Linked DNA regions of Arabidopsis thaliana. The protein of the gene in region 1 interacts with the protein of each later gene in a pairwise test. Each region holds a gene or a part of one and is shown on either strand. Other genes may lie near its edges.

What was found.
Region 2: the proteins of U1-70K (region 1) and COS1 interact in binary tests that used the Arabidopsis thaliana proteins (3 or more experiments, as listed by UniProt).

Annotation. Positions count from the first base shown.
Region 1 is NC_003074.8:18,825,622-18,831,498, reverse strand, and holds U1-70K (U1 small nuclear ribonucleoprotein-70K), read left to right. Parts: upstream 1-1,814; 5' UTR 1,815-2,006; coding exon 2,007-2,105; intron 2,106-2,410; coding exon 2,411-2,525; intron 2,526-2,595; coding exon 2,596-2,675; intron 2,676-2,765; coding exon 2,766-2,841; intron 2,842-2,928; coding exon 2,929-2,993; intron 2,994-3,087; coding exon 3,088-3,150; coding exon of another isoform or gene 3,151-3,267; exon of another isoform or gene 3,268-4,059; coding exon 4,060-4,141; intron 4,142-4,239; coding exon 4,240-4,453; intron 4,454-4,533; coding exon 4,534-5,023; 3' UTR 5,024-5,339; downstream 5,340-5,877. UniProt on the Arabidopsis thaliana protein: Mediates the splicing of pre-mRNA by binding to the loop I region of U1-snRNA.
Region 2 is NC_003071.7:18,222,419-18,226,761, reverse strand, and holds COS1 (6,7-dimethyl-8-ribityllumazine synthase / DMRL synthase / lumazine synthase / riboflavin synthase), read right to left. Parts: upstream 2,550-4,343; 5' UTR 2,459-2,549; coding exon 2,308-2,458; intron 2,221-2,307; coding exon 2,105-2,220; intron 1,969-2,104; coding exon 1,873-1,968; intron 1,797-1,872; coding exon 1,701-1,796; intron 1,558-1,700; coding exon 1,479-1,557; intron 1,239-1,478; coding exon 1,192-1,238; intron 1,094-1,191; coding exon 1,034-1,093; intron 884-1,033; coding exon 845-883; 3' UTR 529-844; downstream 1-528. Other genes in the region: AT2G44040 (Dihydrodipicolinate reductase, bacterial/plant), read left to right, coding at 2,764-2,777, 2,876-3,089, 3,251-3,488, 3,689-3,822, 3,918-3,992, 4,095-4,196, 4,289-4,343. UniProt on the Arabidopsis thaliana protein: Catalyzes the formation of 6,7-dimethyl-8-ribityllumazine by condensation of 5-amino-6-(D-ribitylamino)uracil with 3,4-dihydroxy-2-butanone 4-phosphate. This is the penultimate step in the biosynthesis of riboflavin.

The DNA.
Region 1 (5,877 bases):
ACCTAAAAACATGAATGTTCCACAAACTCTACTAATGGCTAAACCATAACCAAACTCCCCCGTAACGGTAAAACTATTACCAAACTCTCTTACTAAGAACACAAAAACTCTGAAAATTTCTTAACTCAAGAATAATTCCAGTAACATAAAAAGAAAAAGAAAAACCAAAACCAATCCTACTAAAAACATAGAAAACCAACGACTTAAAGTTTTGGAAAAATAATACCCATGTGATTAAGAAACAATCACGTAACCTCCATCCCTTAACATGCCGACATCTTCGTCGTTTTCATTTCCACCGTCGGAGGCACCGTCTTCTCCTTCAGTGATCACCATCTTCATAATCTTTTCTTGATTACAAAATCTATAATGCGGAAGCTTTAATTATGATCCACAAAGATCGACTGCTCTGATACCATGTAGAATAAGGTATTGAACTGACTTGATTTTATTGATTCACAAACTATGGTATTTATATACAATGATCTCTATCAAGAGATAAACATAAATCCCTAAAATATAGGTTAGAAACTCTATCATCAAAGATATTGTACTAATCCTAATCGGATAACATATATCCCCAATAAGGCGCCTAAGTTCAGGTGCGACAAGGCTCCAACAATTTCTACTACGATGGCCAAACGCAGTTACCAAGGGGAGTCATCAGTCCCATTATATGAATACATAAATCTGAATGATAAAATTGCATACCTATGAATCTATGATAATTGGCAACGTCTTCTTCTTGTGGAACACGCAATGGTACCCTCCCCGAGTGTTAACACACATGCTACCTTCGCAACAATATTTGTGACGTCCATTATTGTTGAGTATTCTACACTCGTCCATATCTGTAGATGAAAAACCACATAATTATAATAAGCAAGCATTTTCCACAATACAAGAAAACAGAACGAGTCAGTTTCTCACTTTGCATCCACCTAAAAGATCTTATGGGTTACATTGTAACCACTGGAACATGCACAAACTGAATATCCAATCTCGTACTCATAATCCGTCAGGTTATATATGGCACTTGCAACGGTGATGTGAGCACCCGACAGATGAGAGATTCACAGTTTGAATTGACCATTGTAGGTGGACTATCGTACGTTTCATCGCATAAATCCATCGAGTATCACTAATTTTTGAGGAAGGGTATATGTCAAACTCGTCTGTTAAAATTGCCACTTTGCACCCTCGCCTATTGTTGTGTTTCTACTATCCCCTTGTATACTAAGAGACCAGTTACATGCCCGATCACATAAGGTTCTTTCTTTCTGCAGCATCTATAGCCATTGCAACCTTTTTTTATCCATTCTCGCTTCTGGTGCTGTAGTGCACAAATGGAGACGCAACCAACTATTCTTGGCTCATTTTTTCTCAAAAGGCTTTGATGTTGCAACCAACAACAATTACGCTGTTAGCGCACGAGACCAATGGTAAAAGGTGTGCCCGTCAAGTTCAATAGATCTCCAACCTCGGTTCCATCATACTTAACAAAATCATTGGATGGAGAGCCACATCCTATGGAAGTGAATCAGTGATGGTCATTTGGAAATGCTTAATTTTTCTTATTATGGTTACTTTAAAATATTTAAAAATTTAGAGCCTGTTATTGTAAAAATAAATAAAATTGGAATCTATTTTAATTATGTTTTTTGTTAATGGATTTTAGAAAAATATGGGAGCCAAAGATCAACGAATGCCTACAAAACCAATAATTTGACATGTTAACAAAAAATTGTAAAATCCAAAAAAAAAGGTAATTGAAGCTGATAACCCTCTTGTTCAGCGAGTGGGTTAAAGTGTGACCGAGATATACGAGCACGGCATCGTTTTACGTATCGTGATCTGTTGGATCTCAACTCGGTTTTCTTAATAATCAGAATCCGGTTAGAGATTGAATTTGGGTTTTGTTAGTTTTGCTTCTTCTCTCTGCAAAAATCCTCCATCCGCTTCCTCACGAAAAACCCTAGCACAGCTCCGAGATCCCTTTTGTCGCCATGGGAGACTCCGGCGATCCTTTCTTGCGTAATCCAAACGCCGCTGTTCAAGCTCGCGCTAAAGTTCAGAACAGAGCCAATGTTCTTCAGCTTAAGCTGGTTCGTCTCTTCTCTCTAAATTCGCTGAATTCGTGATTACTCTCTAGATTTTAGTTTCGTTGTCTATTAGGTTTCTAGCTAATGAATTGGAATACTCTTAAGTCGTTTGATACTTGCTTCGGTTCTATTTTCGATTGCGTTGTAACACTCATCAGCTAGTTCTAAATTGAATTGAGATTCCGATTTTAGGTCATATGATTTGATTATATTGGTCTTGATTCTTGAGCTTGTTTTATAGTTTTGAATCAGTTTGATTGATATCTTGTTGCTTTAAAGCTGATATAATGGATCTATCTGATATGCAGATGGGTCAGAGCCACCCTACTGGCTTAACAAACAATCTCTTGAAGCTTTTTGAGCCACGTCCGCCATTGGAGTACAAACCACCACCAGAGAAGAGAAAGTGCCCGCCTTATACAGGTATCAACTTGTATATCTGATTATGTTTTCTTTGCTTTGGATTTGATTTTGTCTTGTGTATTGAATATAGGTATGGCTCAGTTTGTAAGTAACTTTGCTGAGCCTGGGGATCCAGAATACGCTCCACCTAAGCCAGAAGTTGAATTACCTGTATGATGATGCACCTTTAACTCTTTCGATTATTGCCATATTTTAACCCTAAATCAGTGGCTTATAGCTTTGTTTTGTTTCATTGTCCAGTCGCAGAAAAGGGAAAGAATTCATAAATTGCGACTGGAGAAAGGTGTTGAAAAGGCTGCTGAGGACTTAAAGAAATGTAATCTACTATATGTTATTTGTGTTCCTTTTAATGCCCTCTTAGGTTTGAGAATTCTTAGTTAATTTGTTTTTTTTTTATATGCAGATGACCCCAATAATGATCCAAATGCTACTGGAGATCCATACAAGACATTGTTCGTTTCAAGACTTGTAAGCTGTGTTTCTTTTTTTCTTACTGTTGAATGACTTTTGTTAGACATCTGAGTTATGTTGTGCTTAACTTTGGTCTGTTCTTGTCTTGCAGAACTACGAATCCTCAGAGAGTAAGATTAAAAGGGAGTTTGAATCTTATGGACCAATTAAACGGGTAGGTTATTCTGAGCATTCCCTTGCTGGTTCGGTAAGAATTTGTGTAATGGCTTCCCTCTCTAGAGCTCTTTGCTCAATTTGTTTTATTTTATCTACAAAAGTCTTCCAAGGTTAGAATTTTTCAGTCCCTTATAAATTTGCATCTTTTCTGCTAGACCAAAAGGCCATTCTACATTTGCTTTGTTTTGCATGCCTTCTTTAGACTGTGTAAAGCCATCAAGTCTCTTAGACCTTTCTCAATAACTGAATATATAGATGCATAAGTGCTTCTCATATAATGACACAGCTCCTCTCTCCATGGTGTTTGTTTGAGATGTTTTCGGTAAATTTGGCCTGGTATTTTTATTTCCTTGTCCCTTCAGAGAGCAAATACTTTTACAATGATATATCATATAGTGGTTATAGGCACACGGTTTACCTAATCAATTAGTTGTTTTCTGAATCTATAATGAGCTCAACTCATCCTGCTGGTAAGCAACTTATAAAATATTATCTGCCCATATCCCAAAGCCATTCAAATGCTTTATTTTCAAGCAACCAAGGTTGGATTATCGAAAACCCTTCTCTCTTTTCCTATCTTAACATCTATATATATTCAGTATCTGGGACTTGGGCTACTATGAAGGTGATCTGGTTCACTTTTTAATACATTTTTAGTTATCTAAGTTTCTATACCCTGGTAAGGGGTGGTTTATTAGACTCTTCAAAAATGGTAATTTTGCTGCAATACATCCATTTTTCTGCCAATTCTTGATGTGGGTGGTGACATTCTCGGATTTGGACACAACATAAAGGTTGCCTGCCTTATAGAGCTGCATGTTTGTTTGATATGAAACACTTTTATCTTGAATCTGATTTTGTTCTCACAGATTTGATTTGTTAATTGTCTTCTTCTGAAACTTCTCAGGTTCATTTGGTGACTGATCAGCTGACCAATAAACCCAAAGGATATGCTTTCATTGAGTACATGCACACCCGTGACATGAAAGGTGCCCTCACATCTCTTTTCTTTCAACCCTCTTTTATCTCCCTGAGATGTTTGCTCTTTATACTGATGTTGCATTGTGTTTTGCTACTCTTCCTACAGCTGCATATAAGCAAGCTGATGGACAAAAGATTGACGGCAGAAGAGTTTTGGTTGATGTGGAGAGAGGTAGAACCGTCCCAAACTGGCGTCCACGCAGGCTTGGTGGTGGACTTGGGACCTCAAGAGTGGGTGGTGGTGAAGAAATTGTTGGGGAACAACAACCGCAAGGAAGAACCTCCCAGTCAGAGGAGCCATCGAGACCACGGGAAGAGCGGTAAAGATATTTTCATTCGTACCAAACTCTTTTGCCTTGTGACTAATATTGTGCTGATAATGTTGTTACCTTGTCTCCAGTGAGAAATCTCGGGAAAAGGGAAAAGAAAGGGAAAGGTCTCGTGAGCTGTCTCACGAACAACCTCGAGAGAGGTCTCGTGACAGACCGAGAGAGGATAAGCACCACAGAGACCGAGACCAAGGAGGCAGAGACAGGGATAGGGACAGCAGACGTGATCGTGACCGGACCCGTGACAGAGGAGACAGAGACCGCCGTGACCGTGACAGGGGACGGGATCGTACTTCAAGGGATCATGACCGAGACCGCAGTAGAAAGAAGGAGCGGGATTATGAAGGAGGTGAATATGAGCATGAGGGTGGTGGTCGGTCCCGTGAGAGAGATGCAGAGTACCGTGGCGAGCCAGAAGAAACTCGTGGCTACTATGAAGACGATCAAGGGGACACAGACCGGTACAGTCATCGCTACGATAAAATGGAGGAAGATGACTTCAGATATGAACGTGAGTACAAGCGGTCTAAGAGATCAGAATCGCGAGAGTATGTTCGTTGATGTTTCATTCGGCTGTTTAAAACTCTAAAAACTTAAGAATCCTTTTTGTTTATTCTAAATCAAAACTTGATGCAATTCTGTTTGTTACCTCTGAACTTGATTGCTATTTTTTCTCTTTTGAAGTTTGTCATATTATTAATCAAAATCAAACCAACTTTAAAGTTGTGATGTTTTATTGATTATTTCTTATGCAGTACTACTATACATGTGATGATTTATGTGCCTAGAAACGGTCAATTATTAAACTTATTGGTGAAAACATGATTGAAATGTTATTTTATTTAGCATATAATAGATTGATATGTTTAGAGAGAGGATATATTGATAGTCGTGAATTTTTGAGATAATTTGAGGAAAAAAAAGGCTCCATTGCCGGGAATCGAACCCGGGTCTCCTGGGTGAAAGCCAGATATCCTAACCGCTGGACGACAATGGAATTTGTTAATGGTTTTCATTATGACATTATTGTTGAATATTTTGGTTTCACATTTGCTAGAAAACATTACTAAAATCCAAGGTCAAACACTTCGTACGTTTGAGTATTTTATATACACATATCTGTATCTATTTTTAGAATTATTATTATATACAAATACAACACGACTCTTGTTACTTAGGTTGGGACACATGCTCAGGGGTCGTATTCGTGATGGAATTGTAAAATAGATTTGCAATTATTTCTAAATATAAAAAGCAAGCCATATGATTTCTTAGATCTTTACACTTTTGTTTGGTTAATGATCGTTCTGATTGACGTAGTTACTCAATGTTAGCGCTTTGAATGTTTCTCTTTTCTTTTGGGAGTGTCAATGCCATTTTCATACATCTAGAGACCGAATAATTTATGTATTAAC
Region 2 (4,343 bases), on another chromosome or scaffold:
AGTAGTTGTAAGAGGCTATAATCACCAAAACAAAGTTTCTCACCAAAGACCATAGAGAACTCGCATCACATTAGATATCATCAACTAGGATCCTAGTGGAATATCCCAAACCAAAGAACATACAATGCATCTCTGTACTAAGAGACAATGATCATATCACGTGAATCAAGAGGATTCGTGGGAAATACAGATCCGAATGTTCGATCTACACATGATAGCACTAGATCAACCTAAATGTCAAACAGATCGGAGAAACAAAAAGCTCGATCTAATTACACCACCTTTTTCCATGTATTCCGATCAAATCATGAAGGATCAACGCAAGAACAACAATGAAGAGAAATAAAACTTAGTGGATTTGATTTTTACCTGGATTGGATGAATGTGAGTCACAGAGACAAAGAGAAGAGAGTGCTCCAAGAGTCACAAAATGATTATAGATTGTGGAATTGGTTGATCCGTTGAACTTTATATTAACTATTATCAATGTGACGCGTAATCTTCGCTCGCCGACAAAATTTTCGTCGTGTAAGATCCTTATTGGCTTTTAAAATTGACATCCATTTCGACACCTCAATTTCAAGATATTACAACAAAGAAGATCACATTTTTGATTAGTACAGAAAGACCCCCAAAATTCGGAGGAATTATTATTATCATACGATTCAAAAAAAAAAAACAAGGCCAGAAGCTTACAAAAGCGTTTAAATGATTTTGTAACCAAGGGTAAAACATTTTGACAATCTTTGAGGTACAAACAATTTCAGAGACTGGATTGTAACCAAATGGGACAACATCAAGAGGTTCTCATACGTGATCATGTTCATCCATCGAACGAGCCGAGCTATTTCAGGTGGTGCTCAAACAACGACGCCATTTCGAGCTGAAAAACAAGAGGAAGAAATATTCAAAGACTTTACCAAAAAGACATAAGAACCCGAATGGTTATAACATGACCAGTTGCTCAATGGAATGATCAGGAATTTCTACATCTTATTCTAACAATAAAGGATTGAATCATAATGATACTTACCGCCGTCAAAGCAGTTTCAGCTCCCTTATTGCCGGCTTTGCCACCAGATCGATTCAGAGCCTAGAGTTTCAGTTAACCACAATATTAACAAATTCAGTGTTCATCCATTATGATGAATAAGCTATATATCATCAACTCTTGCATAACACAACTTAAACCTGATCCATGTCCTCGCAAGTCAGTACACCAAATATGCATGGAACGCCTGCAAATTGGATTTTTTATAAGCTTTAATTACTAGAGTCAATAGTGCGTAAACACAAAATTTGAAGAAGTAATTCATGATGAGGGAATTTAAACATCCAAAATCCAAAGAAAAGCAAAAATGAACTACCCGCTCTTTTAGGTTCGGAAGTATACAAAATCAATCTTTCAGTGTTTCCAAAACAATGTCAAATAAAAATGTCTAAAGATGTATATCCAGCAAATAAGTATCGAGGTAAACCTGAATTTATGCTAGCAGAAAGTACTCCAGACGCAGCAGAGTTGGCAACAGCATCATAATGTGTGGTATCTCCTCTTATCTAAACCACAACAAGGACAACAGTAATATCAAAATCCAACTCTTTAAGTATATGTTATCAACATAAAGCAACTACTTTCTGAAGCCATATGAGGAGAAAAACAAATGGAATAGCCTGAGATTCTTTCAAAACAAGAATCATACCACAGCGCCGATACATAAAACAGCATGAAATTTTCCCGATTTCCCAAGATTTTGTGCAACAACACCAATTTCAAAGCTGCCAGGAACCCAAATAACCTGAATAAAAACAGTGTCATTAGCTTTGTGAAAGCTCATAACTTTTTATTCTGTTCTACAAGCAAAAGACTTTTACTTCAATGTCTTCTTCTCTGACTGAATACTTCTTGAAAGTCTCAATCGCTCCTTCCAAAAGCAACTTAGTCACAACCTCATTGAAACGAGCTACCACCTTGAGAAAGAAAAATGAATCAGAACCAAGTCAACACTGCAATTGAGCTCAAAGTTTTCAAATTTCACTGTAAATCAGAACCAAGTCACTAAATCTAAGCAGCGCACAAAGTAAGAAAGCGATTCTGAGAACTCACGATGGCGAATCTAAGACCTTCGCCTCTGATAAGAGACCCCGTAACATGGCGAACAGCAGCCGTCTGTACGAATGAAGAGCGTAATTCCTTCTCTACAGCTAGTGGTGACGCAAATCCTAACACCAAATGTTAACATCTCAATCACGAAATTGCGAAAAAACGATTTGAGTTATTATAAGAGAAGTGAGAGAAAGCAAGCTTACCGGATGTGGATGAGGAGAATGAGAGATTATTGGATTTGTTCACAGAAGAGCCACCGTGTATATAACAGGCGGAGGAAGATTGACGCGAATTGAGCTGACGGTGTGCCGTCGGTATCAGGCGGAGACACGGCGGCGAAGCTAATGACTTCATTTTTCGTTCGTCGGAGTTTTAGAGACGGTTCTTCGTTCTTCAGGTTAAGAGTGAGACTGTGAGGTCCATTAGCTTATCAAATCGGTTCAAGGCTTCCGGTTTATTATTTTCATTAAAATTACGGTTTCATTGAATCTATTAGTTTGGTTAGAGATTTCCGGTTTGATGAAAAGGGATAAGCTAAACCCTACATCCCCAATCACTCTCACCGGCCGGAAATTTTCAGACAAAAGTGAAAGATTTAAACTTTTGACTCCGTCGTAACAAAGAACAAAACTTCCGTATCCTGGAGAGTAAATTCCTTTATGGCTACGAATGGGTACGTTTCGAAACCTACGAATTTCACGTTTTGATTGACGGAGATGAGCTTTAAACTCTTTAAGAGGATTCTATTGAATTTAAACGATTTGATCACAGGTTAATGGCGTCGTCCAGTGTGTTTCTTCATCGCCCGCGTATCGCATTTGCTTCTAGAACGAATCAGACTGTAGGAAAATACGGTAAAGGCCGTGTTAGTTTCATGGGCATTGGGACACGTCGTCTTCCGGTGGTTTTATCCATGACGGCGATGGCGGATTCCGGTGAGGAGGCCGTGAAATCTGTTTTGCCTGGAAATGGCATATCCATCATGGTAAACCTGATCATCTGATGATTTCTCTTAGACTCAAAGTTGTGAGATTTGACTTTGCATTACCATTTAAGTTTGAAATGTAGAAATGTCAAAGCTTGTTCCTTTTGAAATGGGGATTTTTATGTTGGATTTAGCTATATTCATTATCTCTTATTCTACAGGTGAATGGATGTAGTGGCAAAATGGGGAAAGCTGTAATTAAAGCAGCAGACTCTGCAGGAGTAAATATTGTTCCCATATCGTTTGGATCTGCTGGTGAGGATGGTCAGAGAGTTGAGGTCTGTGGAAAGGAGATTACTGTGCACGGTCCAACTGAAAGAGAAAAGGTTCTTTCTTCGGTGTTTGAGAAGCACCCGGAGCTAATTGTTGTCGACTACACAATTCCCTCTGCAGTAAATGGTAAACTTCAGAATCTCTCATTTCTACCATCAAAAGACAATTGTATTCTAGATTTGTTGAAGTTATGGTTGAATTCTGGTTGGCGGAACGATCCTTGATTGAGTTAGTTTAGAATTTGTGCAAGTGAAAATCATCTGCTAGAAGTGTTTTTTTTGTCTATTGTTTGTTGATTTCAAGTTTGGTATTCTCGCAAAATGTAGATAATGCGGAGCTGTATAGCAAAGTAGGTGTTCCTTTCGTCATGGGAACAACTGGTGGAGATAGGAACAAATTGTATGAAACTGTTGAGGAAGCAAAGATTTATGCTGTGATTTCTCCACAGATGGGTAAACAGGTATGTGTACTTGAATGTTTCTGGAAGAAATGATTACTTATGCATGTAAGTTAAGATCATTTTTGCTCATATTTGTGTGCTTTGTTGGTCTATAGGTTGTAGCATTTCTTGCGGCCATGGAGATCATGGCTGAGCAGTTTCCGGGAGCCTTTTCTGGTTATTCCTTGGATGTACTTTTCTTACTTCTTTTATACATTCAAATTCTTTTTTCTTTCTCTGTTAGTTTTATATTACTTCTTGCTACATCTAATCAACTGCCAATCTATATGTAGGTGATGGAGTCTCATCAAGCTAGCAAATTGGATGCATCCGGAACAGCAAAAGCTGTTATTTCTTGCTTCCAGGAATTGGGTGTGTCTTACGACATGGATCAGGTGCATTGGTCATCCTTTATTGTTTACATCTTGGCAATCACTTAATTTATCCTCGGAATGTGAATTTTCTGTGTATACAACTTTTGTGGCAGATACAATTGATTCGGGATCCAAAACAGCAAGTGGAGATGGTGGGTGTACCTGAGG